Callithrix jacchus: one gene and its partners. The protein of the gene in region 1 binds, or shares a complex with, the protein of each later gene. Links are inferred from orthologs where the notes say so. Each region holds a gene or a part of one and is shown in the gene's direction. Other genes may lie near its edges. The genes, in order: ZBP1, AIM2, CASP8, RIPK3 and MEFV.

Region 1 (5,586 bases):
CCCACCCTGGAAGCTTCTGGAGGTCCTACTGGCAGTTCATGGCAAGGGCTTCTAGGAGGAAGTGGTGTGCTGGCGGGATTAACCAGGGATGGCTTCCTGGAGGTGTGGCCCAAGGGCTGCAGTTGCAGAAGGCCATCGGATGGGATGGAGGTGCCCACTCCCAGTGTTCTCAGCTCTGGGGTGCAGGGGTCAGTTTGAGTTTGAGAACAGTTTTCTTTAAGCACTTTGCCCAGGTCTGGATTTTAAAGTTCGCAGAAGAGAAGGCAAGACTAGGATCAGACCCCTACCAAGTGGAGCCGCTGGGCGGACTTCTCCATGAGACCCAGTAAGTGCAGGGCCAAGGGCCCATGGCACTATCGGGGTCCTTGAAAATCTTTAATTTCAGTTTCATTTAAAATCAGAAGAAATGAATACTATAATAACGAATATCTAAAAATGAGCCAGGTGTGGTGGCTGGTGCCTGTAATTCTAGCACTTTGGGAGGCCAAGGCGGGCAGCTCACCTGAGGTCAGGAGTTTGAGACCAGCCTGGCCAACATGGTGGACCCCCGTCTCCACTAAAAATACAAAAATTAGCTGAGCATGGTGGTGCACACCTGTAATCCCAGCTACTTGGGAGGCTGAGGTAGGAGAACTGCTTGAACCTGGGAGGCAGAGATTGCAGTGAGCTGAGATCACACCACTGCACTCCAGCCTGGGCAACAAAAGCGAAACTCTGCCTCAAAAAGAAAGGGTTAAATATTTGTGTATAGGGGAAAGACTCACAAAGGCACAGAAGCTGAGACCCCAGAGGGTGGTGATAGGCCCCACGAAGTCCACGGAGGTGCCTGCCTTGGCCCCGTCGGGGTGGACTCTGCTGCTCATGGCAGGTGCTCCAGGGGGTCTCAGTGTCCTAGAGCTGCTGTGAGGAAGGAATAACATGTGACAGCCATCAGATTTTAATCACTGACAAATTCAAATACTTAAAATCCCATGGGAACCAAACACACCCCATCTGGTCCCATGGGCTGCTCTCTCTTGGCCACTGCTCAAGTGAGAAGAGCAGCAGTGCAGGTGCCCAGGGGTCCGGGCTGTGGCTGCCCCTTGGGAGAGCAGTGTGGGCCCCTGCAGTCCTCCCAGCCAGCAATCATGGAGGGCCAGCTGTGGGGGCAGCAAAGGACACAGGTAGGGTGACTTGCAGTGGCGATTTCTAAGGAAGGCTCCCTCTGAGGTACCTGTGGTGTCCGGTAAACACCCGGCTCTGGGCCCCTACTCGGTCCTACTGACCGGGAACCCCAGGGTGTTTTCACAAGCTCCCCAGAGAACTTGGTGCTGCCCACTAGTATTGGCAACCCTTGACCCACAGAGAGGAGCGAAGGTTTAGAGTTGAATATTGTTTTGCAGAAGATTCTGGAGGAACAGCAGAGTCTACCTCGATTATTTACCAGCACAATCCAATCAATGTGATCTGCCAGAATGGACCGAACGGCCAGATTTCCATTGCACACTCGGAAGCCATCCAGATTGGACACGGGAACACCATGACAAGGCAGGCAGTCTCCAGGGAGGACAGTGAGTCACCCGAGAGAGCCCCGGGAGGGAACCTCAACCTCAAGGGGAGCCACCTGGTCCACCAGGTGGAGGCCAAGTGTGGGGTATTCAGCCCTCCAGGGGGAAAGGGGAGCTTCCACATTATGGCCACCCTGAGAATGAGGGCGCCTGGATCAAAGTTCTGATTTCCCTGTACTTTGATACCTTCGACCTCAGTTTCTTATTTTTATTTTTTGATAAAACCTTAAAATTAAGATGGGGTCCCTCTGTGTTGCACTTGACCTTATGCTTTCAGTGGGGTCCGATGTTTCTCCATGAGAAACAACTCAATTACTCTCTCCCTCCGAAGAATGCCACAGGGAGGTTATTGTAGAATGGTATTTGTTCTGAGAAACGATACTTTCCCCCACATTTGAACAGGCTGGAAACTGAGGTGGATCTCACCACCCATGGCATCCTTCTTTGGATGAAATTCTATGTTGCACTCTGCACACTTACCCCATGCCGGACACTGTAGCAAGAGGGGACAGAGCCACCTATCAGCCCAGCCTTGTCACCTGTGAGTGAGAGCATCAGCCCCAAAGTCAGGACACTCCCTGTAACTTTGGGAGAACCTTTCCTCACTGTGAGCCTCAGTTTCCCCAATTGTGAAATGAGGAACTTTGTTCTAGAATCTAGATCATAGTTTCCCCAGCCTTAATCCTCTGAGCCCCACCTTCCCGCTTCTGGCCATACCAATGTCTGATTATTTAATTAATGTTGCTGAGTAGTGCACCTTTTAAAAAATTTATTTTAAAACAATTTTATAGTATTATTTTAGGTTAAAACCATGAAAATCACCATAAAAATAAATGTGATTCCTGGCAGTTGAAATGCTGCGGGAGGCTCTGAGCCCTTGGTGTCAGCATCAAAGGAGACTTTATCCCCTTGAGGCCGGAAGGCTGGAGAATGACTGCGAACCAGCAAGGAGCTCACTGTTTGGGTTTGTGAGTCCTTGCAACAGCCAGGCACCAGCGCAAGTCCTGAGAACCCAGGGAGCCCGAAAATGAGCTGTTCTGCCAGGTCCTCCTGCTCTCTAAGTCAGAGCCTAAAGTCTTTGCCCCCAGTTTGATGGTGCCCAGGAAGAATTCAGAAGCCAGGACCATGTGTGGTGGTGAGGGGAGGTAAGAAGCCTGCAGTAATCTCCAGTGAGGCGGTTCCGCTGTCCTCTGCCAGGTTCCACGGGTCCCTGCCACCTCCCTCCAATGGCACCAGGTGATTCCTCAATTCAGGGGACCCTGGTTGATGCCTGGGGGGTCCAGGACATCCACATGGAGCGGTCCATGCTCAGACGAGTGCAGCTGGGACACAGCAATGAGATGAGGCTTCACGGCGTTCCATCCGAGGGCCCTGCCCACAGCCCCTCTGGCAGCCCCCCAGGTAACTGGGGACCTAGAGGTCAGACACACCCCTGCTACCCCTTAGTTCCCACTGGAAGGAACTGGAGTTCCTTGTGGGGAGAGAGGCATGATGGGAAATTCCTTTTCACCAGGTGGCTGAACCAGAGTAGAGCAGGTGGGGTTTTAAAGCTACCACTCTAGGCCAGGCATGGTGACTCACGCCTGTAATCCTAGCACTTTGGGAGGCCAAGGCGGGTGGATCACCTGAGGTCAGGAGCTCGAGACAAGCCTGACTAATATGGTGAAACCCTGTCTCTACTAAAAAAAAAAAAAAAAAAAAAAAAAAATTAACTGGGTGTGGTGATGTACACCTGTAGTCCCAGCTACTCAGAAGTTTGAGGCAGGAGAATTGCTTGAACCCAGGAGGCAAAGGTTGCAGTGAACCGAGTCTACACCACTGCACCCCAGCCTGGGTGACAGAGTGAGACTCTGTCTCAAAAAATAAAAATAAATAAAATAAAGCTAGCACTCTGGGTCCCCATCCCCTATGACCCACTGCAGGAAGGAAACCTCAGTTTCCTTATCTGTAAAATGGGCATGACCTCCCCAAAGAAGCAGAGGCTGGGCCAGCTGGGGCAGGGGCAGAAGTGATGGCCCTGCCATCACTGGAATGGCATCTAGGGAGGATGGAATGGCATCTAGGGAGGATGGAAGACAGGAGCCCTACTAGGTGCGGTGGCTGCAGTAACCAGAGGGCCCCAGGCGGAGGCTTCCCCCACACTAGGAATGCAGAGATGGGCTGGGGAGAAGAACCAGCAGAGAAGCCAGAGAGGGAGGAGGAAAGCAGAGGCCCCGGGAGAGGAGTCTCCAGAGAGCAGCCAGGCCAGGGAAGCTGCTGTAGGGTTCAGCGAGAGGGGTCATGGTAACCTTGTGGGGGTGGTTTCTGGGAGTGGGGGAGCAGAAGGGGTCTGGGAAGCGGGAGGAGGCAAGACGCAGTGTAGATGACTTTTCTGGATGGGAAAGAGCAGAGCCAGATGGCAGGGGCTGGGGCCAGGCTGGGAGCCCCCGTAAGATTTCAACCAAAAGTGGGGGCCAGTGTTCCAGTGCAGTGGGAAGCAGGCAGCAGAGAAGGGAGGAGCTGAACCCCAGAAGACACCGACAACCAGATCAGCTGGGTGGTATCAGCAGGGAAGACCCACCAGCTGGTGGAGAGACACGTCCAGGATCCCGACAGCGTGCGTAGGTGTGGCAGTGGGGAAGCCAGACGCAGGCTGTGTGTGTGGGGTGGAGTGGGCCGCTGGTGAGAGGTCTGGGGAGGAGAGTGAGCCAGGCTGGGGTCAGGGCTCTGGGGCCGCTGTCCAGATGCTTCAGGCTCCCGACATCTCTCCCTTTCACCCACAGTCTCTGCCACTGCTGCCGGCCCAGAAGCTTCGTTTGAAGAAAGAATGCCCAATCCAGGAACTCACCCCAAGGAGGACGCCGCCCAGAGAATCCACATAAAATCATGCTTTCTCGAGGACACCACCATCGGCAACAGCAACAAAATGTCTATCATCCCAGGGGCAGCTGACCCAGGAGGAGTTGCAGGGTCTGGAGATGGGGAGCCAGGGGAGGATGTAGGTGAGCTGGGGGGCAGAGTGGACCCCTGTGTGTCCTCTCTCTCTCTCTCCCCACATTCCATTCATTCATTCATTTATTCTCATCAACCATTCTCTGATCTCTCCTTTCCTGGAGTCAGGAGGCAGTGCCCACCCATGGTGAAGAGCAGCAACTCTGGAGTCAGAGCTTCCAGGCTCTGCCCCTTTGGTGGAGGGACCCACCCAAGTCACTTCACCCAAGATCCTCTGTCTCCGTAGCTGTAAAGGGGGGTGGAAAGAATAGCCTGAAGTGACTCCTAAGTGGCTGTGAGGAAGGCGGAGCTCAGCCCGGCCCAAATTCTGGAGATAGGAGTGTTACTGTCTCATCATTGCTGTCGTGATTGTTTGGGGCCCCAGAGAGGTGCTGGGTTGCCACGCAAATGAGGCTTTGCATCAGGGCACAGGCCGACCTGCCACAGTGGAGATGCCTCACATGGTGGCCCCCGCCTGCTCGAAGCCCAGGCCTCATGTCCGGGTGAGGGGAGCAGAGCAGGGTTTCTTTTACCTCAGTGCTGAATTGTCCCTGGGGCTCCGTCCTCACCTGTGGGGTTGAATTTGGCACCAGCAAGGAGAGGGCCGAGAAGGTGGAGAGCCGGCTGCTGTCTGTGACCAAGCCCACCTACGCATCTGTGCTGTTCAGAGGGCCTGCACTTAGCCATGGGGGGCTGGGAAATGCTGCCCGTGTCAAGGCAGCCTCAGCCTAGCAGAGACTTAGGGGAGGGGGCTCCGCTGCTCACAGAAAAAGGGAGAGGGGCAAATCAGTACAGTTCACAGCCCAGCCACAGTTCTGCTCCTGGGGGCTGCACAGGCTGGTGGCAGAGCCTGGGGATCCCAACTCAAGGCCTGGGGTGGGGGCAGCTGGAAAGTCAGACAGGACCAGCACAAGGTGAGGACAGCCAGGACAGGGGTACCTGGTGGGCAGAACAGTGTGGACAATGGCCTGGAGGTGAGGACATGATGGTGTGGGGACCCGCATGGGTTTGAGGGTGACCTGAGCATGGGGAGCTAAGCCAGGGCCTAGCTCCAGACTGCAGTCGATAG
Region 2 (5,586 bases), on another chromosome or scaffold:
AGAAAAAGAAAAAGAAATCGAGAATATTCATGCAATCAAATTTGACAAAGTTTTTTTTTCTTTTTTCTGGATTGTCCTTTTTATATCTTATTTAAGAACAACCCCATCAATAAGTGAGTGAAGGATATGAACATACACTTCTCAAAAGAAGACATTTATGCAGCTAACAAACATGAGAAAAAGCTCATCATCTTTGATCATTAGAGAAATACAAATCAAAACCACAGTGAGATAACAGCTCATGCCAGTTAGAATGGTGATCATTAAAAAGTCAGGAAACAACAGATGCTGGAGAGGATGTGGAGAAACAGGAAAGCTTTTACACTTTTGGTGGGAATGTAAACTAATTCAACCCATGTGGAACACAGTGTGGTGATTCCTCAAGTATCCAGAACCAGAAATACCATTTGACCCAGCAATTCCATTACTGGGTATATACTCAAAGGATTATAAATCATTCTCCTATAAAGATACATGCACATGTATATTTACTGCAGCACTATTCACAATAGCAAAGACTTGGAACCAACCCAAACGCCCATCAATGATAGACTGGATAAAGAAAATGCGGCACATGTACACCATGGAATACTATGCAGTCATAAAAAAGAATGAGTTCATGTACTGCAGGGACATGGATGGAGCTGGAAACCATCATTCTCAGCAAACTGACACAAGAAGAGAAAACCAAACACCACATGTCCTCACTCATCAGTGGGAGTTGAACAATGAGAACACAGGGACACAGGGAGGGGAACATCACACACTGGGGTCTGTCAGGGGGTGGGAGCCTAGGGGAGTGACAGCATTAGGAGAAATACCTAATGAAGATGATGGGTTGATGGGGTACAGCAAACCACCACAGCACGTGTTATACCTATGTAACAAACCCGCACGTAAAGTATAAGAAAAAAAGAAAAATAAAAGAAACCTTCTTCTGCTTCAATGTATGGAGAAATTGTGTTTTATTCAATACCATTACTAGTCTATATAGATAATTAATCCAGCCAGATATATATTTTGTGTATGATGTAAGATAAAGTCTCAGTGTATCATTCCCCATATATTGTCATTTGCCTGAATGCTTTTTATAGTTGTCTATTCTTTCCTTGTGATTTTTAATGACACTTTGATTATATACCATGTTTTAATTTACATGTAGTTCTATTTCCACACTCAATTTGTTGACTTTTCTCTGTGCCACTACCATACTGATTTAATTATCATACATTTGTAGTAAGTATTAATATCTAGTAGTAGGGATAGTATATCCTAAAGAAATATTTAACTTATTTTGCATGTTTTTGTCTTTATTTTTTTCATTTAGGTTTTGTGAGCATCCCGATAATGTCTATAAAAATCCCTTTGAGATTCTGCATGGGAGTTTACAGATTAATTTGACAATATTGCTGTCTTCATTCTATCAATTCTTCCCATTGAAAATAGCACACATACACCCACTTGACTGGGTCTTTTAAATCTCTCGATAAAGTTTTATAAGGTTCCCTTTAAAACTCTTAAATATATTGTATTAGATGTTCTATGTGCTTTGTAGTTTTGTTGCTATTGGAAATTACTATTTTATGTAATATTTTTCTCTCTTGGAGTGGTGCTAGAATAAAGGAATGTATTTCTGCATATTAATCTTCTAGTTAGAAACATTGTTGAATCGTTGTTTATAATATTTTATTATTTTGGTTACTATACATAAACAATCATATTACTACAAGGTTATTCTGGACAAGATATAAAAATAGATCAATGGACAGAAGAAAGAATCCAGAAATAGACCCACTCATATTTGGACAACTGGTTTTTACAAAGATACAAAAAAAAAAGTCTTTAAAGAAAGAACAGTCTCTTTAACATACGCTTCTGGGAAAATTTATATTCATATGAAAAATAAATGAACTTTGAATCATCCCTCACTACATACACAAAATAACTCAAAACAGTGCACACACCCAAATGTAAAATATCAAGCCATAAAATTTTTAGAGGAGAACGTAAAATCTTCTAATCTTGACATGGAAAAGATTTCTTAAATATGACACTGAAAGCACAATCCATGAAAGAAAAAATTGGTTAATTTTACTTCATCAGGTAAATGTATATGCCGAAATTTATCAAAGTGTATACTTCCAATATATGCACTGTGTTGTATGTCAGTTATGCCTCGATAAATCTGTTTTTAAAACAACAGGAAAATGTATTGTTTTCTTTTTTGTGGTTGTTTTTGGTTTTTTTGAGACGGAGTTTCACTCTTGTTGCCCAGGCCGGAGTGCAATGGTGCAATCTTGGCTCACAACAACCTCTGCCTCTTGGGTTCAAGTGATTCTCCTGCCTCAGCCTTCAGAGTAGTTGGGATTACAGGCATCCACCACCACGACTGGCTAATTTTTATATTTTTAGTAGAGATGGGATTTTGCCATATTGGCCAGGCTGGTCTCAAACTCCTGACCTCACGTGATCCGCCCACTTCAGCCTCTCAAAGTTCTGGGATTACAGGCATAAGCTACTGTGCCCAGCTGATATCTCCTGTTTTCTAAGAATTCCAGAGGTGTTGTATACTTTCTGAAAATGTCTTTCCGGGGAATAGTGACTACCTTGCTTAAGAAGTTCTTACCTATGTTCCACTCAAACCTCTTACTACTGTAAACATTTGTTTATTTTTCTTTAAAATATAGTAACAGCTCACCTTGCTTCATTCTGAACATAGAATCACTTTTGGTGGTGTAATCTTCTATGATTTGGACTCCTTACAGGCGGATCCTGAAGTTCTTAGATGGAGAGTAAATATAAGGAGATACTCCTGCTAACGGGCCTGGAGAACATCACTGATGAAGAACTGGAGAGGTTTAAGTTCTTTCTTCCAGATGAGTTTAATATTGCCACAGGCAAACTACATACTGCAAATAGACCACAACTAGCTAACTTGATGATTCAAAATGCTGGTGTGGTGTCTGCAGTAATGAAGACCATTCATATTTTTCAGAAGTTGAATTACATGCTTTTGGCAAAACGTCTTCAGGAAGAGAAGGAGAAAGGTAAAGTGGGATCCTGCCCTGCCCAGTCCCTTTCTTCGCCAAGCCTGGGCCTTTCCTTTTACGGCGTCCCTGGGATATGGCCCCCAGTGCACGTTTGTTGGAATTTGTTTGCTAACTTAGTGCACTTGTCTCTTTGCCTCCTTTTACTGAGAATCACCTCTAGGAAGTGTTTGGTACAAATTCCACAAATCCATTCCATCTTCTGTTGGCATCTCTTGTTCCAACGCTTAGAGTTACCACTTCCATTTATCGTCTTTTCTCTTTGCCTATCTGTCTCCAGTTCAATTGCAGTGAACTTGGATGTAGGATTTCTTTTTCTTTTTTTTTTTTTTGAGACAGAGTTTCGCTCTTGTTACCCAGACTGGAGTGCAATGGCACGATCTCGGCTCACCGCAACCTCTGCCTTCTGGGTTCAGGCAATTCTCCTGCCTCAGCCTCCCGAGTAGCTGGGACTACAGGCACACACCACCATGCCCAGCTAATTTTTGTGTTTTTAGTAGAGACGGGGTTTCACCTTGTTGACCAGGATGGTCTCAATCTCTTGACCTCATGATCCACCCGCCTCGGCCTCCCAAAGTGCTGGGATTATAGGCGTGAGCCACCGCACCTGGCCTTGGATGTAGGATTTCAAAGTTAACATCCCCCAACTCCATTTACACAGTATATAATGCGCTCACATTTTACTGAAGTCATGAAAATATAAATAAATTATTGCAGTGGAAAAGCGTAAACCGGGATATTGAGCACCTTTTCTCCTTCACACAGTCTGTCTATTCCTCTCCTGTCCCCAGCTTTCTGAGGACCCAGAGTATCCTTCTTCAGGGAATAATCTCCTCCTTCTATTAGGGGATTCTCTCTCCTATCTCCAGTACAGGTGGCACTATAAATTACCCACAACACAAAGGTTTTTTACATTATTCAATAAATCACTCATCATCTCCATCTACATTTAGTTTAAATCTCGTTTAAATTTCTGATTTTGTTTGCTAAGAAAATTGATATGTCCCGGCTTTATGTCTGAAGAATAAAAGAGAGGTAACAAAGGAGCATATCATCCAAGGACTCTCCCAAATGAGAGTCTCCAAATGCCACAGTTTTAGGATTCAAAGTACAGCTGTAGGCCGGGAGCAGTGGCTCACGCCTATAATCCCAGTACTTTGGGAGGCCAAGGCGGGTGGATCACGAGGTCAAGAGGTGGAGACCATCCTGGCCAACATGGTGAAACCCCGTCTCTACTAAAAATACAAAAATTAGCTGGGCATGGTGGTAGGTGCCTGTAGTCCCAGCTACTCGGGAGGCTGAGGCAGGAGAATTGCCTGAACCCAGGAGGTGGAGGTTGTGGTGAGCCGAGATCGCACCATTGCACTCCAGCCTGGGTAACAAGAGCGAAACTCAGTCTCAAAAAAAAAAAAGTACAACTATAACAGCAAAAATTACAACAGCTTTTAACAGCATTTGTGAGTGTATAACACGGATGACATCACTTCTCAAACATGACTTATAGGAAGGCTAAATGAAGCCATGAAAGTGATACTATGTACGCTCATAATTCTATACAGATATAAACTGTTTGCTAGTATCTAAGGCACTGAAGAGAAAGGACTGCTTGTTATACATTGTATTTTCCCAGGCTATGTGAAGTTAGAAGGTGTAGTTCTTAGACATGGCCCCTAGATGGCAGTAACTACACGTTGTTTTGAAGTAACCAACTGCTCTTTTTCTTGTCTGGGATGAGACAGGAATCTAAGCATATTTATTGGCAAACATAGGCGGAGAATTTTAGAAATATCTTTTATTTTGTCATTAAATCAAGAATTAATTCTTCTCTTTGACACAAAGGATAGCACAAAGTTTCACCTTCTAAAATCTTCTCCCCATTTTGCTGTTCTAATGATCCTGGGATTTTGTTATTCTGATTCGATAGAAAAGATAGTTTGGGACTAGAATCCAGGGACTCTCCCAAATGAGAGTCTCCACATGTAACAGTTGCAGGATTCAACGTGTGCTTTTTGGATGGGTGCAAGTGGCTCACACCTGTAATCCCAGCAGTTTGGGAGGCCGAGGTGGGCAGATCACTTGAGGTCAGGAGTTGAAGACCAACCTGGCCAACATGGTGAAACCTCATCTCTAATAAAAATACAAAACTTAGCCAGGAGTGGTGGCAGGCGCCTGTAATCCCAGCTACTCGGGAGGCTGAGGCAGGAGAATCACTTGAACCTGGGAGGCAGAGGTTGCAGTGAGCTGAGATCACGCCTCTGCACTCTCACCTGGGCAACAACAGTGAGACCCTGTCTCAAACAACCACAAGACACAAAGTATGCTTCTTGTATGCTTTACAAGAAGGCAATTAAGTTCCATCAAAGCTAAAATTCCAACCACAGACATTCTTAGGCCTCCTTTGAATGTAGGAAATTTTTGTGTGTCTAGGCTACTTCTATTATTATAGGAAAACAATTTTTGTTTTGTTTTTTGAACAGTTAATCTTTTATTTTTGGTTAAGTGATCCCTCTCCATAGCCATTGCATGTCTGCATGTAGAG
Region 3 (6,271 bases), on another chromosome or scaffold:
GCAAATGAAGTAATAATGAGCCTTGTGCTTCACAATAGAAATTCAACCAACCTGAGGGTTATAATTTACTTATTAACTCTTACTGCTATTATTTTTTTTGAGATGGAGTCTCCCTCTGTCACACAGGCACAATGGTGCCATCTTGGCTCATTGCAACCTCCACCTCCTAGGCTCAAGCGATTCTCAAGCCTTGAGTAGCTGAGACTACAGGCACATGCCACCATGCCCAGCTAATTTTTTTGTATTTTTAGTAGAGATGGGGTTTCGCCATGTTGGCCGGGCCGCTCTTGAACTGCTCTTAAGTGATCCGCCTGCCTCAGCCTCTCCAAGTGCTGGGATCACAGGGGTGAGCCACTGTGCCTGGCCATAATTCACTTATTAGCTCTTCATATATGTATATATATATATAAAAGATCTAAGACTGGAGAATCTAGGGTCAGTGCCTTACAAATGGCACAAGTTGAAGCCCTGAGACTCCCACCGCTACCCTGCTCCCCGCATTCTCAGTACTGCCTCTCAGATGCATCCAGCAGCTAACCCGTATTTGCAAGGCTGGGTTTGGGTACATGCAGTGAGACGTTTACAGGGTCTAAGAGCAGAAACTCTTGAGTGAGACACTCCTGAGTTCATGCACTGGCCCTGCCATTTGTCAGCTGATTGATGTTGCATTTAATTTCGTCATCTGTAACAGGCCTAATAATCTGTAGCCATCTGAGAGATGTTGTGAGCTTGAATAACAGGGTAGTGAATATTTATTTATTTATTGATACAGGGTCTCGCTCTGTCACCCAGGCTGGAGTGCAGTGGCATGAGCATAGCTCCCTGCACCCTTGACCTCCCACGCTCAAGTTTTCCTTTCACTTCAGTCTCCTAAGTAGCTGGAGACCATAGACGCACCTCACGACACCTGACTAATTTTTAACATTTTCTGTAGAGACGGTGTCTCCCTATGTTGCCCAGGCTGGTCTCTATTTCTGGGGCTCAAGTGATCCTCCTGCCTTGGCCTTCCAAAGTGCTGGAACTACTGGTGCGAGTCACCGCGACCACAGCCTATTTACTGAGAACTGTGGAAGGCACAGGCACTATTATAAGTGCTCCAGCTGTTTTATCTCCCACATTTTTGCTCAGTTAGGAGTTCCAAAGCTGGAACTTGAAGATTCGTATTTTAAAAAATTTTGCAGTTAATTCTGAGGTTGGTCAGATTGAGATCATGGTTGTGCATTCATGTTTAGGCAGTGACTAACCACTCAGGGCCTTAGAGACAAACAGAGCTCATTCTATCACTCACTCACTGAATGAGCATAGCCAAGTCTTTCAACCTCTCTAAGCCTCAGTGTCCCCATTCATAAAATGGGACCAGTAGTAGCATCCACTTCTGAGAACTGTTCAGAAGTGGAAATGAACCAATTTAGGTGGCCATGTCTGGCATACACAAATGGTTTGATTAGTATTAGCTGTGCCTTTATTAGGCCATCTCATTTTTGTTAGGTGACTGAGAAACCAAGGACCTTCTGACCTTTGTGCATCGGTCACTCTTAGTTTAAATTTGTTGCTCTTCCATCCACATAATTGATTCCAAATCCTAAGTGTTGGAGAAAGGGAGTTAGTGTGTCATAGAAAAATCCCTGTCTTTGGCCCAGCAGGACTGTGTTTGACTCTATGTAACTGTTTGAGCATTAGTTTCCTCATCTATAACATGGGAGAACAATACTCTGAATTGCTGAGAGAATTAGTGGTAGTTCTTGTCATGGTGTAACATATAAGTAATGTGTTATTGTTGGTGTTCTGGTTATAAAATGTACAACATGTGAAAACAAAAGGGCGGAAAACCCTTATTAAAAACTCAGGAAACAGAAGCAGATGGGAGAGAACTGGGGAGGGACTGGGCATGGTGGCTTATGCCTATAATCCCAGCACTTTGGGAGGCCAAGGTGGGTGGATTGTTTGAGGTCAGGAGTTGGAGATCAGTCTGACCAACATGGTGAAACCCCGTCTCTACTAAAAATGCAAAAATTAGCTGGACGTGGTGGTGGGTGCCTGTAGTCCCAGATACTAGGGAGGCTGAGGCAGGAGAATCACTTGAATCCAGGAGGTGGAGACTGCAGTGAGCCAAGATCTCAGCACTGCACTCCAGCCTGGGCAACAGACCAAACAAACAAACAAACAAAAGAGAGAACAGGGGAGGGTCTGGGGCTCAGAGCTTGGGGAACAGACCTCACTCAGTAGCACCAACACTCCAGGCTGGATACTACAAAGACACAGGTTACTACTAAACTGGAGAACATGGCCACGGCTGGGAACTCAGGGCTGAGCCAAGTAGGGCTGAGCGAAAACACTTCCTCCTTTGTGAACAATCTACCTACATTTCAGCTACAGGGCTGGCTTTACTCAGTCCTCGGGGAGGGAGGAGAAGGCTGGTCTGTGGCTTCAGTGCTGAGATTTGGATCAAGAGAGGGAAATGCCCTCTCCCCAGACCCTTTGCAAGGAAGAATGGCATATTACTTGCTACGGACAGGTGTTATTATTATTAATGGAGTCAGTATAAATGCTTTCCAGTGAAGCATGTCCAGCGCTCGGGTTTCTAGTTTGCACGTCAATGAATTGTCTGCCACCTACCTCTTCTGAATGGTTGGAAATTGGGCATCTGTTCCTTTAAAAAGGAAACATTTCTTGCTTGAGTGAGTCATCTCTGTCCTCCTGCTTTAGGAGTACAATTTACCCCGGAGTTCCTTCTGTTGTGAATTTTCTTTTTCTCTGGAGACCAGATTCTGTCCTTTTGCTGGAGGGAAGTGTTTTTACAGATTTCCTCCTTACTCTTGCGTTTTTTTCAAGCCGGGCTGAATTTGCTAGTCCACTCAACAGGAAGTGAGGCCGTGGAGGGTGGTGATCGAAAGTAAAAGAAAGGTTCCTCCTGGGAGCCCTTCCCACCCCGCTCCCCACGGAGCGTGTGGAGTTAGGCAGGTTAGGGGACTCGGAGACTGCGATGGTGCCCGGAAAGGGTGGAGCGGGTGAGTGCCTGTTGCCGAGGTGACCCCTTCCACAGGAAACCACAATATTTTTGTTTCTTCACTAGCTCTAGAAACGGGTCGGTGGGCAGGGGGAAGCAACTTGCATCTGCCCTTCTGAGGACACCTCTGGGTCCTGCCTGGCCCCGCTCCCCTGTGGGGCTTCTCTCTGAGCCGTTGCCTCTGACCTTGCTGCTTTTTCACTCGGAGGAGTCTCCAGTTTCTTTGCCGCCTTCAGAGCTTGAGCTCCCAGCTTCCCTGACGCCTCGAATACCGACACACTGTCTCCCTCCTGTGGACCCTTTTGGAGATTCCAGAAAACTTTATCAATCCACTTTTTTTTTTTCTTTTTCATTTGGCCCTGGGGCAGGGGGTTAAGTTCTTTATTCTGTCGAATCACGATGCCCTGCAGACCTGGGTCCCTAAGGCGCACAGCCGGCTTCCTTCCTCCCCGGGTTCTAAGGGTTTCCTTTCACCTCTCCACTCCCACCCCTGCCCTCTCTCTTGCTTCCCAAAGACAGTTCTCTAATGTTTTGATATGAATTCGTGATTTAATCTGTATCTTTGCAAAATGTATTTTTCTTTTGTGTGTGTACACTATTTTTTAACTATGCGATCTGAGGCAGGTAAGTAATTCCTCTGTGCCTCTGTCATCTCATCATTATATGGGATTAATAATGCCTCGGGAGGTGACTGTGAGGCTTGAAGGAGACACTAGGCACAAGTCACTTACTACACCAGTTATCAATTACTATTGCATATTAATATTATTGGTATTTTATTTTGCACATTCTATTTCTATTTCTTTTTTGTTTTTTTGAGACAGGGTCTTGCTCTGTCACCCAGGCACAATCATGATTGTACAGTGGCACAATCATGGCTCACTTCAGCCTCGACATCCTGGGATTAAGCAATTTTCCCATCTCAGCTTTCAGATTAGCTGGGACCACAGGCATGTGCTACTACACCTGGCTAATTAAAAATTTTTTTTCGTAGAGATGGTGTCTCACTATGTTGCCCAGGCTGGTCTCAAATGCCTAGGCTCAAATGATCCTCCCACCTTGGCCTCCCAAAGTGCTAGGATTACAGGCATGCCACTGTGCCCATCAGGCATTGATGTTATGAGGCCACCTTGACCTAGCCCTCTCTGGTGAGGAGTCCCTTTCAGATACTTCATTCAGTCTTCTCAGCTATGAGTGCCTGCCCTCTGAATGCTTATATTCTATTTGGGGAAGGACAAAAGGCAGCTTCAAAGAAGAGAGATGCTTGATTTTCTTTTCCTGCTTTTAATATCAGAAAACATTTCAGCTAACTCTCAGTATGAAGGCAATCTTTTGTTTACTGATACATATATTATATACATATGGGCAACTAGAGCCCAACATGATGAGGTCCCCAGGATTTGCCTCTTTGATAAGATGGTAAAAACCCATCTTGCAGTTAACTTCATGGTTTCCTCAGCTACACTCATACACAAGGACCACCTTTGGTAAGATGGGCTTACCAAAGAGTTATTTCATTTTAGAGTTCTTTTCTTTCTAGATTTTTTATTTTAGAATTTTTTTTTTTATTTCAGAGTTTTTTCTTTTTAGAGGTTTTTCATTTTAGAGTTTTTTATTTTAAAGTTTTTTAGATTGCTGAGAGTGGAATCTGGTGACCTTGGGGCCATGGAGATGCTCCTTGGCTAAACCAGGTGCTTTAGCTCTGAAAGTTCGCAGCCACCTTGAGAACCAAGATGAGGGCTCTGCAGTGCCCAATCTCAAGACCTCTCCGGGGTGCTCAGTCACGATACATTGAATGAAAAACTTAAAGTCTTAATGATGAACCCAAAAAAACTTCAAATACTAAATATGAAAAGAAAGTGTTCTTAGTTACAATCCAGTCCAGTGTCCTCATTTCAGAACATGGAAATGAGGCTCCAAAGGTAAAATGACTCATCCAAAGTCACACAAAGATGTTGGCCAGTGGCCATTGCTCAGGTGGCCATGTGCCTTGCCCCACCCTGCCTGCAATCTCATGGACCACCAGGCCTTTTCCCTTTAGCTTTAGGAGCTTTAGAGGGCGGCTCTGCTCACTCAGAGACAAGTGGTAAGTGTTGTTTCCCCTCTAGTGTTTGTGACTCAGGAGTTTCGAAACAGGAAGTGCAGCTGGCTGTGCCTTCCGTCCTTCATTAGACGTTTGCTCTTGTCTTAGATGCTCAGATGGGCAGTGGATAGGCCTGTGAAGAAGGTGCTACCGTTGTGATAATAAGGTAAGGATTCGCCTCTTTGGTAAGGTCAGAGGGGCCTTTTGGGAGGAAGGCCTTTGATTCTGGAGTTTTCTAGGCTCCTGAGAGTGAGATTGGGTGGCCTTGGGGCCATGGAGGTGATCCTCATGTTTGAGTGTGGATGGGGAAACCATGAAGTTAGTGTAAGAGGCAGCAGTCCCTCTGAGAGCCTTGCCGAGGGTTATGCAGTTTCCAGACCTCAAGCCACTCTAACTTAGATCGATGGAGTCTTAGGAGTTTCTGAAAGGCTCCAAGTTTAGCTACTTGTACGAAAGCCTGATCCCAGCCCAACTTGTCTTAGAAGCCAAAATTTAAATCTCAACTGACTTTGCTGCTACAGCTATCCTCCCACCAACACACAGACCCACCAACATACACATTTGCCAACATAAACACACACACACACACACATACGCATACTCATACCCATTGTCCTACTAATTCAATTATTTGTTTTTTAAAGAAATTTAAAAAGGCTGGGCATGGTGGCTCACATCTGTAATCCCAGCACTTTGGGAGGCCGAGGCAGGTGGATCACCTGAGGTCGGGAGTTTGAGACCAGCCTGACCAACAAGGAGAAACCTCGTCTCTCCTAAAATTACAAAATTAGCTGGGCGTGGTGGCCCATGCTTTTAATCCCAGCTACTTGGGAGGATGAGGCAGGAGAATTGCTTGAACCTGGGAGGCGGAGATTGCTGTGAGCCGAGATCACGCCATTGCTTTCCAGCCTGGGCAACAAGAGCAAAACTCTGTCTCAAAAAAAAAAGAAAGAAAATTAAAAAGATACAAAACAGTTCAAAAAACAATATAATGGGAAGACTGGATGGATGAAATCAGAGACCTGTCCTTGTGGGGTTAAGCATTTACAGGTGAAGTTGCAAGTTTCATTCTGTTTGAAAATGATGGGCTTGTATGTTTTGCTGAGGTCGGGATACCTTTGCTTGGTTGTTTGCACACTGTGGTTGCGGCGCCCTGCTATGGACACCATGTGAGTGCAGAA
Region 4 (6,171 bases), on another chromosome or scaffold:
AGAATCTCTTAAACAACAGATGAGGATTAAGACTAGAATATACAAAGAGAGACCACATAGATCCCCCACAATCCCCTACCTCTACAACAATCAGGGATAGGGAACCAGAGATGAACTGAAGGTAATCAGAGAATCAGGAGCAGGGAACTGAAGGAATAAGAAATACTCAAGTAAGGCCAGGTGCGGTGGCTCACACCTGTAATCCCAGCACTTTGGGAGGCTGAGGTGGGTGGATCACGAGGTCAGGGGTTGAAGACCATCCTGGCCAACATGGTGAAACACTGTCTCTACTAAAAATACAAAAATTAGCCGGGCAAGGTGGTGCATGCCTGTGGTCACAGCTACTTGGGAGGCTGGAGCAGAAGAATCACTTGAACCTGGGAGGCAGAGGTTGCAGTGAGCCAATATCACATGACTGCATTCCAGCCTGGGCAACAGAGCGAGACGCTGTCGTGAAAACAAAATACTGATTAAATTTTTTTAAAAAATACCCAAGTAGACTTCAAAAGCCTGGGACATCTGTGGTCAGAGACAGCAGTCCTCAGAAAAGACCAGAGCTCCAAAATCCAGAAATGAGCCCACCCCCACACCGCCTTGCTGGAGGCTGAGGGTCCTGTTAGGCACTTAATCTAAGGTTTTTCTCCCTGCTCTTCCTTCTTTTAAAGGGGCTGTTTATTTTGAGTCAAAAAGTAGTATAGGCCCTGATACCACACCCAACCCTGTGTTTCACAGTGGTTTATCCCTGATTCTCAGGGTCTCGTCCCAATCTGAAAAAACCCAGTTATGACAACTTTCGAACTCCTTATGCCTGCTCCCTTCAAGTGGAGATATTGAGCCCAGGTTATTCTCTCTAAAGAGAATCACAAAGGGAGTGGCTGCCCCTTCTGATGGCTCTCAGCTTCTGACTAGGCTTTTCTGAGGATCTGCTACACTTCTTGCCTTCTTGGATTCTGTGTGATACCGCCATATCTCTATACTAAAGCCTACTTCAGATGGAGTTCATGAACTGTTCAGGTGAGAGCCCTCAATCCCTACAGGAACCCAATCTCCTCTTTCCTCCTAATGAGTATGGAGTTTCATCTAGGATGATCAGTGTCTTAAGGAAGGCTCAGTATTTTTGATTGTTCATTTATTCATTCAATTCAATAAATATTTATTGGGTACCTGTCATTTATTGGCTTTTAAAGAGACTATGGTTGAACAATTCCCTAAATGGCTCCAAAATAGCATGAGCTGACCCTACCAGAAGCCATGACATGGCTCTCCAGGAGCTGTTCTAGAAAAAACTGCTAGTCACTTCTGCTTCAACCAGCCCATGGACCACTGGACAAAATGGAAAGCAAGTACCAAGGTGAGCACCTTTTAGTGAGAGCCAACACACAACCCACAGGATTGAGTCTCCCTGTGAAGAACTGAGTGCCTAGGGCTGACCCTAGCTTGTTCCCACAACCCCCAGTCATGGTCAGACCTTAGAAAGGTAAAATATGGACACCTTTTTTCTGCCCTAAATCTTTAAGACGCTGCATGCTCCCGGGTTATCAAAGACCTGTGTCCGAGCACGTGCTTGTCAGGAACATTAATTAGGGTATTTGCATGCAAGAGCTGTCATGCAAGAGAGAGGGCAGGAAAGCTCTGAGGTGTTTCCACTGCAATGTACACCGCAATGTCAGCAACCTTCTGGCTGGGCTGATATATCTAGCCTTACCACAATGCCCTGGGAGTTGTTTTAGGGCTTGTCAGCTCCAGGGGCTCCTGTTCATAGGGCATATAAGTCCCTATCAGAGCAGCGATAGGGACTGGGCAGGAATACAGATAGGGGTCCTTCATTACATCGTTGGATGCTTCACACCTTCCCCAACCACCTGCATGACCAGCTGAGTGGTACAGCCCTGAAGTCTATGTGAAAATAGGAAAACTTGATGGTTCAGAGCCATTATTTCCACATGGGCTTAGGCATGATACTTAAACTCTCAGTGTCTCAGTTTCCTCGTCCATAAAAATAGTAATAAAAGCAGTACCTATCCTCTTAGGGTTCATGTGAGAATTAAATAAGCTAATATATGTACCTGGTGTGTAGTAACTTTTATATACGTGTTGGCTATAATCTTAGGGCAGCTGTGAGAGAGCTGAGCCCCAGAACCATAAAACCCTCTTAAGCACCATCCCCACTCACGGCCTGGCAGGTGGTGGAGCAGGAAATCCCGTGGGAAAAGGGAAGGCGTTGGCTGTAGGAGAGGGTCGATTGTGGGTTCCCGGAAGGTGAGGACTCCTTCCCTAACATCCTCAATGCCCAGCTACAACCAACCTGGCCGCGGCACGCAGCAGGCGCCCAAGAAACACTAGTCAGAGAGGAAAGCACTAGCTTTCGTTCTGCCCCCGTCCCACCCCAGGGGCGGGACTGTAGAGTCGCCTGAAAGGGAAGTTGTTCAGTCAACTCGGAATAGCGGTAGCAACCCGGAAAGTGGAATCATCATCTTGGTCTAGAGACTGACGCCTGTGCATGCAGACCCGTTCCCCTCTCTACCAAAGACCGCAGCCCCGGAAGTCACTCCATCTCCTGCAGCTCGCTATTTCCAGCGGCCCCCTCGTACCTTCCAGCCTGATGTCTCACGTCAAGTTATGGTGAGTAGGGAGTGGCGTGTGGATCTGAGTCTCCGACACTCACCCCCAGAGCTACCCGCGACTCGCTCAGAGAACGCCTTTGCGTCTAGGGACGGTGGGGGCGGGCGAGGGAGGCCGAGGATTGCAGTGGGCGCCGAGTCACGGGGGCGGGGGGAGCAGCGCGGACACTGCACTGCCGGCTAGTGGGCGACACCCCTCTCTCAGGTTGAACGGTGCTTCCGCCTCCTTGGTGTTAGACAAGTAATTGGAGAACCACAAGCTCGTCGGCTCAGGCGGGTTCGGCAACGTGTTCCGGGCGCATCATAGGAAGTGGGGCTGCGATGTGGCTGTCAAGATCGTGAACTCGTGAGTGTCCGGCCAAGGTCTGGGCAAAAAGGTGGAGCCGCTGTGCTCTGCGACCTGAATGGGGAAGGGAGGGATTCTCCCAGGACCCCGGTGCGACTCCAGCTCTCTACTGGAGTGTAGGAAGGCGATATCCAGGGAGGTCAAGGCCATGGCAAGTCTGAATAACGAATTCGTGCTGTGCCTAAAAGGGGTCATCGAGGAGGTGGGGTGGGACGACGATTTCAGGCCGGCACTGGTGACTGAATTCATGGAGAACGGCTCCCTGTCGGGGCTGCTGAAGCCCCAGTGCCCTCGGCCCTGGCCACTCCTCTGCCGCCTGCTGAAAGAAGTGGTGCTCGGGATGTGTTACCTGCATGAGCAGAACCCGGCGCTCCTGCACCAGGACCTCAAGCCATCCAACATCCTGCTGGACCCGGAGCTGCACGTCAAGGTTAGCCGGTCTACACCCCTCTCAGCCTCAGGACAAGGCCCCACCCCAGAGCTGCTCCAGCCAGGGCCACCAGACACTAGACCTGCAGAGCCCTGTCTGTTGAATAGGCACAGCCTCTCCCTCTGGACTCAGAGTTGTCAGGGGACAAAGCCCAGCCGGGAGTTTTAGCTCCTGCCCTACCAGGTGATAGAGGCCCTGACCCACACGAGTCATTTCCACCAGCTGTCCCACCAGGCCCTGGAGACTCAGACTTGGACCCAGCCCTACCACAGGGCACCTAGATCTACCACCCAAGGGAACCCCTTCCCTTGACCTTCACACTCTTTTTACAAAGCTGAATCTGCACCATCTGGGGGTAGGGAGTATTCTGGAGGCTGCCTGCTTTGTCTTCCCCGCTTCCCCCTTCTTCCCTTCATTTGCAGCTGGCAGATTTTGGCCTGTCCACATTTCAGGGAAGCTCACCGTCAGGGACAGGGTCTAGGGAGCCAGGGGGCACCCTGGGCTACTTGGCCCCAGAACTGTTTGTTAATGTAAACCAGAAGGCCTCCCCAGCCAGTGATGTCTACAGGTAAGGATCCCACCCCAAACACACAGCGGGGATTCCTACACCTCTCTTGGCCCTCCTAGGGGATGACGTATAGGAAAGGAGTCTTGCCAGTGATTGGACCTGTCCTCAGCTTTGTGTCTCCTGCAGCTTCGGGATCCTAATGTGGGCAGTGCTTGCTGGAAGAGAAGCTGAGTGTAAGACTCTAGGCAGATTCTGGGATCCTTAACCCCAGGTGCCCTTCTGAAAGCCCCAAGTCTTCCCCTTCCTGCTCATCTACTTAGACTGCCCTCCTCCCTCATGGTGCCCCCACATTACACTCCCTGCCTCTTTCCATGATGGACAGATATTCCCTTTTACCCCAAATGCCTTCTCTTCTCACCCACCTTCCCTACCCCAGTGCCGACCGAAGCATCACTGGTGTATGGAGCAGTGTGCAAGAGGGAGGCCCAGCCCTCACTAAATGAACTGTCCCAAGCTGGGCCTGAGACTCCTGGCTTGGAAGGACTGAAGGATTTAATGCAGCTCTGCTGTAGCAATGAGCCCAAGGACAGACCCTCCTTCCAGGGTGAGCTGCCCAGTTAGCTGGATCTGTGATAAGCTTGGGTCTGTCAGCAGGGGGCTCTTCTCAGGAAAAGATTTGCTCACCTGCAACCCAATCTACTGTCCCTCTAGAATGCCTACCAAAAACCGATGAAGGCTTCGAGCTGGTGAAGAACAATATGAATGCTGCTGTCTCCACAGTGAGCTCCCAACATCATCCCTCTCCAGGAGCTGGTCAGGGATAGCACAACATGACTACCTAGCCATCCAATGATGGCTTACCACCGATCACCGCTTTTTATGCCTTGAACTTTGTCCCCACCCTCCCCAGCCCACCCCCGAGTTCCCAGCCAACAGATTATGGACCAAGAGACTACTCCCTTGGGTTTGCTCTGGCTCATCCAAGTTATACCCAGCAAACTCCTCCATCCCTGCAGGTAAAGAATTTCCTGTCTGAGCTCAGGAGCAGCAATAGGTCAGGCCAAGGAAAGACAGAAATGGATGGCTTTGGGAGAAACACAGGAAGGCAGCACTGTTATGATGATTTCATGGATTCTGACCTGCTAAATAAACTGAATCTAGAGGATTCTTCCAGCTGTGTTCCTGAAAAATACCCAAGTCTTACCAAGAAGAGCAGGGCACAAGAGGAGCAGGTTCCACAAGCCAGGACAGCAGGGACATCTTCAGATTCAATGGCTCAACCTCCCCAGACTCCAGAGACCTCAACTTTCAGAAACCAGACACCCAGCCCCACCTCAACTGGAACACCAGGTCCTAGACCCCAAAGGAATCAGGTGAGACATTGGCAGGATTAGGGGATGCACTAGAACTCCTATAAATCCTTTCCCCTTGCCAGGGAAAACTTGGAGCTGAGAGGAGTGCAGAGGGAACACCAGACTCTGGGACAGAACTGAATGCTCTGTGCTGTTTGCAGGGGGCTAAGAGACATGGCATGAACTGGTCCTCCAGGAACCTGGAACCAAATCCAGTAACAGATACCCACTCTCTACCCCTTTTTTTCCCTGTTCAATTATTCCACCAGACTCTTCCTCCAGACCTATAACTAGATTCAGGGTAACTTGTGGAGGGGAGGAGAGAAGACGATCTAACTCAACCTTCTCATTTCATAAATGGGAAAACTGACAGCCCCTGAGAAAGGAGCACTCTGAGGTCTCACAATAAAGCTTGGATTTGTCCCTGAGTTTTCTAACTTTGCACAACACCAGCTCTGTGTGTTGTCCCTACGTTCCATTGTTGTTTCAGCAGTCCAGAGAACCTCCCAGCAAAAAGATCAGGGTCTCAAATGTCCATTGCCACTCTCTACAGCTTCTGCTAACCCAATTCTGGAGAGGAACTCTGAAGGGGAGGGCACAGGGCACACCTTGACACAAGCCACTGACAAGTGGAAACCTCATACTCCCCACCCACCCTCAACTTTGCCTTACTGACAGCTAAACCCTCCTGCCACCATTACTTTTTCTCTTAAAGAGACACCATCTATTACCTTACACAACTGCTCTGGGGTGCAAATTGAAAACAATAACTACTTGACTATGCTACGGATGAGAGGGGAGACCCCCCCTCCCCTCCTCCCACTTCCCAGCCGCCACCTCCTCCTCCCCACTGGATGGGAAGGAGGGTGAAAAACATAAAATAGGCTGGTCACAGTGGCTCATGCCTGTAATCC
Region 5 (6,329 bases), on another chromosome or scaffold:
TATCCTAACCACTTCCTGCAGCTTTAAGACTTGTTTCCAGCTGCTCGTTTCTGCAGAGGATTGTCCTTGGAGGGTGGGGTGTCCACTGTGGTTCCAGCTGCAGCTCTGGAGCCAACACATGAAGATGCCCTCTGCAGGACAGTAAGAGAAATACCACACGAGGTTGGCTGAGATATGTGCCTTGGCACTGTGTTTGTTTCAAAGAACCAAAGCTTTCCTGGGCAAATGGCCTCTTAGTCATTTCAGCTTACCTCAGTCGCATTTTTAAAATTTCAGTTTCTGCTCTGGAGCTTCAGGGGAATTGAGGCATGAGACAATTAGGCCCTAAAGAACAGTCTGTCTGCATAAATGTTATGCCTGCAGAGTGTGTGTGTGTGTGTGTTGTGTATGTGTGTGTTAGGAGATAGATCTGGGATGTGTTTCATTCAGTACTGGCTCAAGGTTCCTTATTTGACTTGCTAATTTAAACTCATTCTACTTTGGAAACCTCTAATATTTTTTCTCTATGAGGAGAGTCTGCTTTTAAAAATCATTTGCCTAATCTTACGCACCCCAGTGAAACAAAGTCACAGGCAATAAATTTGTAAATTTTTCTCTTATAAAAGTAATGGAGCAAAATATGAAATTTCTCCTCTAAAATTTAGCTTGCCATATTTTATTTTGCCTTATTGTTTCACACTGAGCATATATTCGTGGACTGTGTTTCATAAGTCATAAAACTTTAAAATGCTCATTGAAAAAAATTAAAACGGCTGGGCACAGTGGCTCACGCCTGTAATCCCAGCACTTTAGGAGGCCAAGCAGGTGGATCACGATGTCAGGAGTTCAAGACCACCCTGGTGAAACCCCGACTCTACTAAAAATACAAAAAAATTAGCCGGGCGTGATGGCGGGCGCCTGTAATCCCAGCTTCTTGGGAGGCTGAGGCAAAGAATTGCTTGAGGCCAACTCCTACCCTCAATTCTACTCTCTAGAGGTAGCCATATTTCTTTCTTTTTCTTTTTTTTTTTTTTTTTTTAAGACGGGGTTTCATCATGTTGGTCAGGCTGGTCTTGAACTCCCGACCTCAGGTGATCCGCTCGCCTTGGCCTCCAAAGTGCTTGGATTACAGGCGTGAGCCACCATGCCCGGCCAGCCATATTTATTTCTTCCGTTTCTCTCCAGATAAATTTTAACAATTTTTTTTTTTGTTATTTACAAACATGGGATCATACTATCTGCACTGTACTGCAATTGTGCTTTTTCCATTGAATAATACATAGACCATCTTTGCACATTAGCACACAAATGCACTGCGCTGCTTTTAGTGGATGCAGTGTAGTCCATGGAATGGATTTACCAAAACTTATTCAGCCAATGCCCTGGTGACAGACATTTAAGGGATTTATAGTTTCTGACTAACTGGCAAGTGTGGCAGGTGGGGAAGTGTTCTAGGATTATCACCATGATAGGTGTACGAAAGTGCCCCTGAGACTACCATGGAGGTGAATACACCCTCCTTATGCTTACCTGAAGACAAGTGTCTTGATGGGTAGAACGTCAATAGAATGTAGGACCCAGAAAAACAGACCATCTAGCTGGTTTTCCAAGATTTTTGTGGGCTGCAATACACTTGGATCAAAGGAAATCCTTCTTGAAGGTTCAATACCTAAAACAGTTAAAAAGTCGTGGCTGGTCTGGCATTAGCTGGGGGAGGTGGGGAGGAAGGAAGAGGGCTATGCCTATGAAGCTCCTCAAATAAGAAACCAGATGCATGTGCTTTCTCTGAGCCAAACCATTACCTCTCTGGCTCATATTATGTTAGTAGATTTCTCAAAAGGAAAAGCCACAAGTTTCAGAAACTGTACTCTAGGGTTCTGAGGGGGGCAGAGAGTTTGAGAATCCTTGCTCTAGCCTGCCTCTGCTGATTGAGAAAACGGTAGTGCTGCTGTTGGGCTGAAATAGCTGTTCCTTTCACCGCTTTTGTCATGACTAGTAACTACCGTTTATCTGTTCTCGGCCTCCTTGGAACAGGGGTCTTGCCTGACACGTGCACACTCGCACGTGGCACAGTAAGTGGGACACAGTAGGCACTCGGAAAGTGTTTGCTGTAAACATGAATGAAAAAGGGCGACAGGCTAATAAAGGGTGGAAGGCTTTTGGGGGTCAGCACAGCCCCGGGACGTCCCATTCTCGTGGGCCGCCAGACGCCAGGAAACACGCCGACTCCACTTCACGGCGCCGCGCCCGGGATACCAGAGACTACATCGACTCATTCCCGACATAGGGCGCGCGGCAACTCCGGCGAAAAGCAGCGATAGGCTGTCGCGGCTGCCAATCAGACCAACGGCGCCGCGACTCGGAGACCTCTGGGAGACACGGGTCCCTGTCCATCCCCTCTCCAACTGGCTCGCGTGCTCGCGGGGTACTCTGGGAGATGTGTTTCTAGGAGCGGTCTGCGCAAGTGCATGCGTGAGGGCGGGGCTTCGGGGGTCGGTCTGGCGCGTCCGTCGCGCCTTCTATGAGCCCCTCGGCAGAAGCCGCCGTGGGGCGCCTCCCTCCCTTCTTCAGTCAGCCCGGGACCCCGGCGGGAATGAGGCGCAGGGAGTGTCTCGCTTGACCCCAGCGCGTCCTGGCGCCCTGCGGACACTTCCTCTTCATCCTCGGTCGCTCTTCCCGCATGTCTCCTTCCCGAAGCCCCTTCTCCTCGGGATGCCGGGGCAGAGACCCCCCCCCCGGAGTGGCGCCGCCCTCCGCTCTGGCGTGGGGTTCGCGGGGCGTCGGCGGGAGGGGTCCTGGAGGGAACGGCTGTGCGGGGGCGGGACCCCCTCCTCCCCACAGACGCGCCCCTGACAGTCGTGCCATGGCTCTGCGGACGTCCGAGGACGCTACTGGCGGTTCCTCCCGCCGTGCCCGGCACTGTTACCTCCCCGAATTGCCGGAACAACCCACTTGGTAGGAAACGGAAACTGAGAAAAATCGACTAACTTGCCCACGTCACACGGCCCCAGATATTTGAGTCTCGTATTTCCCACCATTTCGTGGAGCTTCCAGACTCGCCAACAGTTGCAAAACAAGGTGATGAGTGGGAATGGCATAAGCACGGGGCGGGGAGAGGAAGTGGGCAGCACCTTAGAGGGCAGGATTCAACAAACGGAACCTCAAAGGGGGCAGTGTCAGTGCAGCTTCGTAGTTGGTGAGAAACGAAGGGCTGGGCACGGTGGCTCAGGCCTGTAATCCCAGCATTTTGGGAGGCCGAGGCGGGCGGATCACGAGGTCATCAGTTTGAGACCAGCCTCACCAACAAACATGGTGAAACCCCGTCTCTACTAAAAATATAAAAATTATCCAGGTGTGGTGCTGTGCACCTGTAATCCCAGCTACTTGGGAGGCTGAGTCAGGAGAATCTCTTGAACCTGGGAGGTGGAGGTTGCAGTGAGCCGAGATCATGCCACTGCACTCTGCTTGGGCAGCTGAGTGAGACTGTCTCAAAAAAAAATAATAATAATAACAAAATAAAATATGAAACAAATTCCCTGCACTCGCTAACCCTATTATTCTGCTATTTTTTTCTCCAACTTCCTTATGACTTCCGGATACATTATGTATTTGTTTATATCAGTTCACACTTTCCTATAAGAATGTAGGCTCAGGCCAGGTACAGTGAACCACACCTGTAATCCCAGCACTTTGGGACGCTGAGACAGGTGGATCACCTGAGGTCAGGAGTTTGAGACCAGCCTGGCCAACATGGTGATACCCTATCTCTAATAAACTAGCCAGGCATGGGGGTGGGTGTCTGTAATCCCAGCTACTCAGGAGGCTGAGGCAGAAGAATCTCTTGAGCCTGAGAGGTGGAGTTGCAGTAAGCCGAGACAGTGCCACTGCACTCCAGCCTGGGCAACAGAGCGAGACTTGTATTAAAAAAAAAAAAAAAAAAAAAAAGGCTCTTCTGAGTGGGCCAAACGCAGTGGTTCACGCCTGTAATCCCAGCACTTTGGGAGGCCAAAGCAGGCAGATCATTCGAGGCCAGGAGTACCAAACCAACATGGTGAAACCCCGTTTCTACTAAAAATACAAAAATTAGGCAGGCTTTGTGGTTGTGGGCGCCTGTAATCCCAGCTACTCAGGAGGCTGAGGCAGGAGAATTGCCTGAACCCAGGAGGTGGAGGTTGCGGTGAGCCGAGATCGTGCCATTGCACTCCAGCCTGGGTAACAAGAGCGAAACTCCGTCTCAAAAAAAAAATCGTTAACCCTTTAGGTTTCTGAATTTTTTATTTCTCAAGGACTGTGCTGTACAAAACATAATCTCAGCACTGAAGTGACAGCCATCACTGTGATCAGGGGCCAGCTGACAGACAAGCCATGGATGACCAAGGGCCTTTCTTGCCAGCTTGCTCACCCCAGAGAGGGCTGTGGAGTGATTCTAAGCAAAGTGTCTTAGAATATAGTTTGGTGCCTGGAAATTCACTTAAAATTTGAATGATTAGCCTCTCAAAGGCTCAGATCTCTCCCTTAAAAGTAAATATACCGGTGGTGTGGAGGAGTTTGTGTCACAGTGGGATTCATTATTCTCCACTCCAAATCAACATGGGAAATCTTCCACAACCTTCCAACAGCTCTGTCCATTATGTCAACAACAGACCTATTACTCCATCTCAAAAATAAATAAATAAATAAATAAAAACACTTAAATGACATTACAAGGGCGATAATTGTATTTTCACTGTAATAAATTACTGGACCCCCCCACAAACAAAAGCTTTGTGAGCCTTTCTTGCCCTAGAAACTCCCAAGTGGCATCAAAACATTGTCTTCTAGAAGTCCTGCCTTAGAACTGCTTCTGTTGCAAAAACTGTCACCGCGATTGCAAAATGTCCTGATTTAAACCGGAAAGTCCCGTTTTCTGCCCAATTCTGTCATGGGGTTTTGGTCTCAGCTCCGAGAAGTTTTCTGACCAGTCAAGATGGGATCACACAGCACCCATAGCGTCACTACAGAGTCTCATCCTTTCTCCATCTGGGAGACTGCCCGGGAGGAGCTGGTCCCAGTGATACCCCAGTCAACACCCTTCTTCTGGCTCAGCCTAAAAATTCCAAAAGTCTGCTGTCTATGCCATCAATGTGCATTTCGGTTCACTCCCTTTTTTTTTCCTTGAGACTGGGTGTTTTGCTGTGTCACCCAGGCTGGAGTGCAGTGGTGCAATCACAGCTCATTGCAGCCTCAACCTAGGCTCAAGCAATCTTCCCGCCTCAGCCTCCTGAGCAGCAGGGACCACCAGTGTGTGCCACCACACCCAGCTAATTTTGTGTGTGTGTGTGTGTGTGTGTGTGTGTGGAGGTGGGGTCTCCTTATATTGCCCAGGCTAATCTCCAATTCCTGGGCTTAAGTAATCCTTCTGCCTCAGCCTCCCAAGGGCTGGGATTATAGGTGTGAGCCACCATACCTGGCCCCATTCACCTACTCTTTATTTAGGGAAGATGTTGGGTTTGGAGGTTATAGATCAAAAGGATCTAGTGAACTGCTTGTTTGTTATGACTTATGACAACAAAGCAGGCCGGGCGCGGTGGCTCACGCCTGTAATCCAAGCACTTTGGGAGGCCAAGGCGGGCGGATCACCTGAGGTGGGGAGTGTTCAAGACCAACCTGACCAACATGGAGAAACCCGTCTCTACTAAAAATACAAAATTAGCCAGGCGCTGTGGTGCATGCCTCTAATCCCAGCTACTTGGGAGGCTGAGGCAGGAGAATTGCTTGAATCTGAGAGGCAGAGGTTGTGGTGAGCTGAGATTGCGCCCTTGTACTCCAGTCTGGGCAAAAGCAAAACTCTGTCTTTTTTTACAAAAAGGAAAGAAAGAAAAGAAAACAAAGCAGAAGCACCAGATACTCTGTGAAATAGAAAACTGGTAGACCGACTGGACAGTAAGTTAAATCCAAGCAACCAGAGCTCATCAAAGCCTTGACTCCCAGGCTCGGCACACACAGAGGTGCTCACACGCAGAGCTGTTTGCTCAGCTGGGTACCAGAATGTGGTGACTGACCCGTGGAAGTGACCCGTCCTGGACCTCAATGGCCAGCTGGAAATGTGACATCCATGGGTACTCATGGGTAGTAAAGTCATAAATTATTGTCACGCAGGGGATGATGTTGTGAAGTGCTGGATGTTTGGATCCTGGCTCTGGGCGTCATTAAGTTACAGATTCTTGGTTGCACAGGGGAATGAATGACAAAGCCAGCCCTGTAGAACGCTGCAGAGATTCTAGGAGGTGGTGTTTATAAAGCAAGTGGTGGCTGCTGCAGAGGGTAAAATGCATTATTAACAAAACTTCTGGCTGGCATGATGGCTCGTG

What was found.
Region 2: ZBP1 (region 1) and AIM2 share a complex: the UniProt entries of both Homo sapiens proteins name them as parts of the AIM2 PANoptosome complex. The link is inferred for Callithrix jacchus from reciprocal best matches to the Homo sapiens genes ZBP1 and AIM2.
Region 3: ZBP1 (region 1) and CASP8 share a complex: the UniProt entries of both Homo sapiens proteins name them as parts of the AIM2 PANoptosome complex. The link is inferred for Callithrix jacchus from reciprocal best matches to the Homo sapiens genes ZBP1 and CASP8.
Region 4: ZBP1 (region 1) and RIPK3 share a complex: the UniProt entries of both Homo sapiens proteins name them as parts of the AIM2 PANoptosome complex. The link is inferred for Callithrix jacchus from reciprocal best matches to the Homo sapiens genes ZBP1 and RIPK3.
Region 5: ZBP1 (region 1) and MEFV share a complex: the UniProt entries of both Homo sapiens proteins name them as parts of the AIM2 PANoptosome complex. The link is inferred for Callithrix jacchus from reciprocal best matches to the Homo sapiens genes ZBP1 and MEFV.

What each region holds. Positions count from the first base shown.
Region 1 is NC_133506.1:53,198,442-53,204,027, reverse strand, and holds part of ZBP1 (Z-DNA-binding protein 1), read left to right. Parts: intron 1-1,382; coding exon 1,383-1,550; intron 1,551-2,744; coding exon 2,745-2,948; intron 2,949-4,309; coding exon 4,310-4,528; intron 4,529-5,586.
Region 2 is NC_133519.1:19,054,948-19,060,533, reverse strand, and holds part of AIM2 (interferon-inducible protein AIM2), read left to right. Parts: intron 1-2,765; 5' UTR 2,766-2,785; coding exon 2,786-3,047; intron 3,048-5,586. UniProt on the Homo sapiens protein: Sensor component of the AIM2 inflammasome, which mediates inflammasome activation in response to the presence of double-stranded DNA (dsDNA) in the cytosol, leading to subsequent pyroptosis.
Region 3 is NC_133507.1:122,348,557-122,354,827, forward strand, and holds the start of CASP8 (caspase-8), read left to right. Parts: upstream 1-2,680; 5' UTR 2,681-2,983; coding exon 2,984-3,008; exon of another isoform or gene 3,009-3,285; intron 3,286-5,198; exon of another isoform or gene 5,199-5,256; intron 5,257-6,271. UniProt on the Homo sapiens protein: Thiol protease that plays a key role in programmed cell death by acting as a molecular switch for apoptosis, necroptosis and pyroptosis, and is required to prevent tissue damage during embryonic development and adulthood.
Region 4 is NC_133509.1:58,637,897-58,644,067, reverse strand, and holds RIPK3 (receptor-interacting serine/threonine-protein kinase 3), read left to right. Parts: upstream 1-2,428; 5' UTR 2,429-2,622; intron 2,623-2,826; 5' UTR 2,827-3,025; coding exon 3,026-3,397; intron 3,398-3,819; coding exon 3,820-3,965; intron 3,966-4,091; coding exon 4,092-4,138; intron 4,139-4,341; coding exon 4,342-4,509; intron 4,510-4,616; coding exon 4,617-4,684; intron 4,685-4,921; coding exon 4,922-5,299; 3' UTR 5,300-5,685; downstream 5,686-6,171. UniProt on the Homo sapiens protein: Serine/threonine-protein kinase that activates necroptosis and apoptosis, two parallel forms of cell death. Necroptosis, a programmed cell death process in response to death-inducing TNF-alpha family members, is triggered by RIPK3 following activation by ZBP1.
Region 5 is NC_133513.1:5,410,061-5,416,389, reverse strand, and holds the start of MEFV (pyrin), read left to right. Parts: upstream 1-2,447; 5' UTR 2,448-3,057; exon of another isoform or gene 3,058-3,110; intron 3,111-6,002; exon of another isoform or gene 6,003-6,056; intron 6,057-6,329. UniProt on the Homo sapiens protein: Involved in the regulation of innate immunity and the inflammatory response in response to IFNG/IFN-gamma.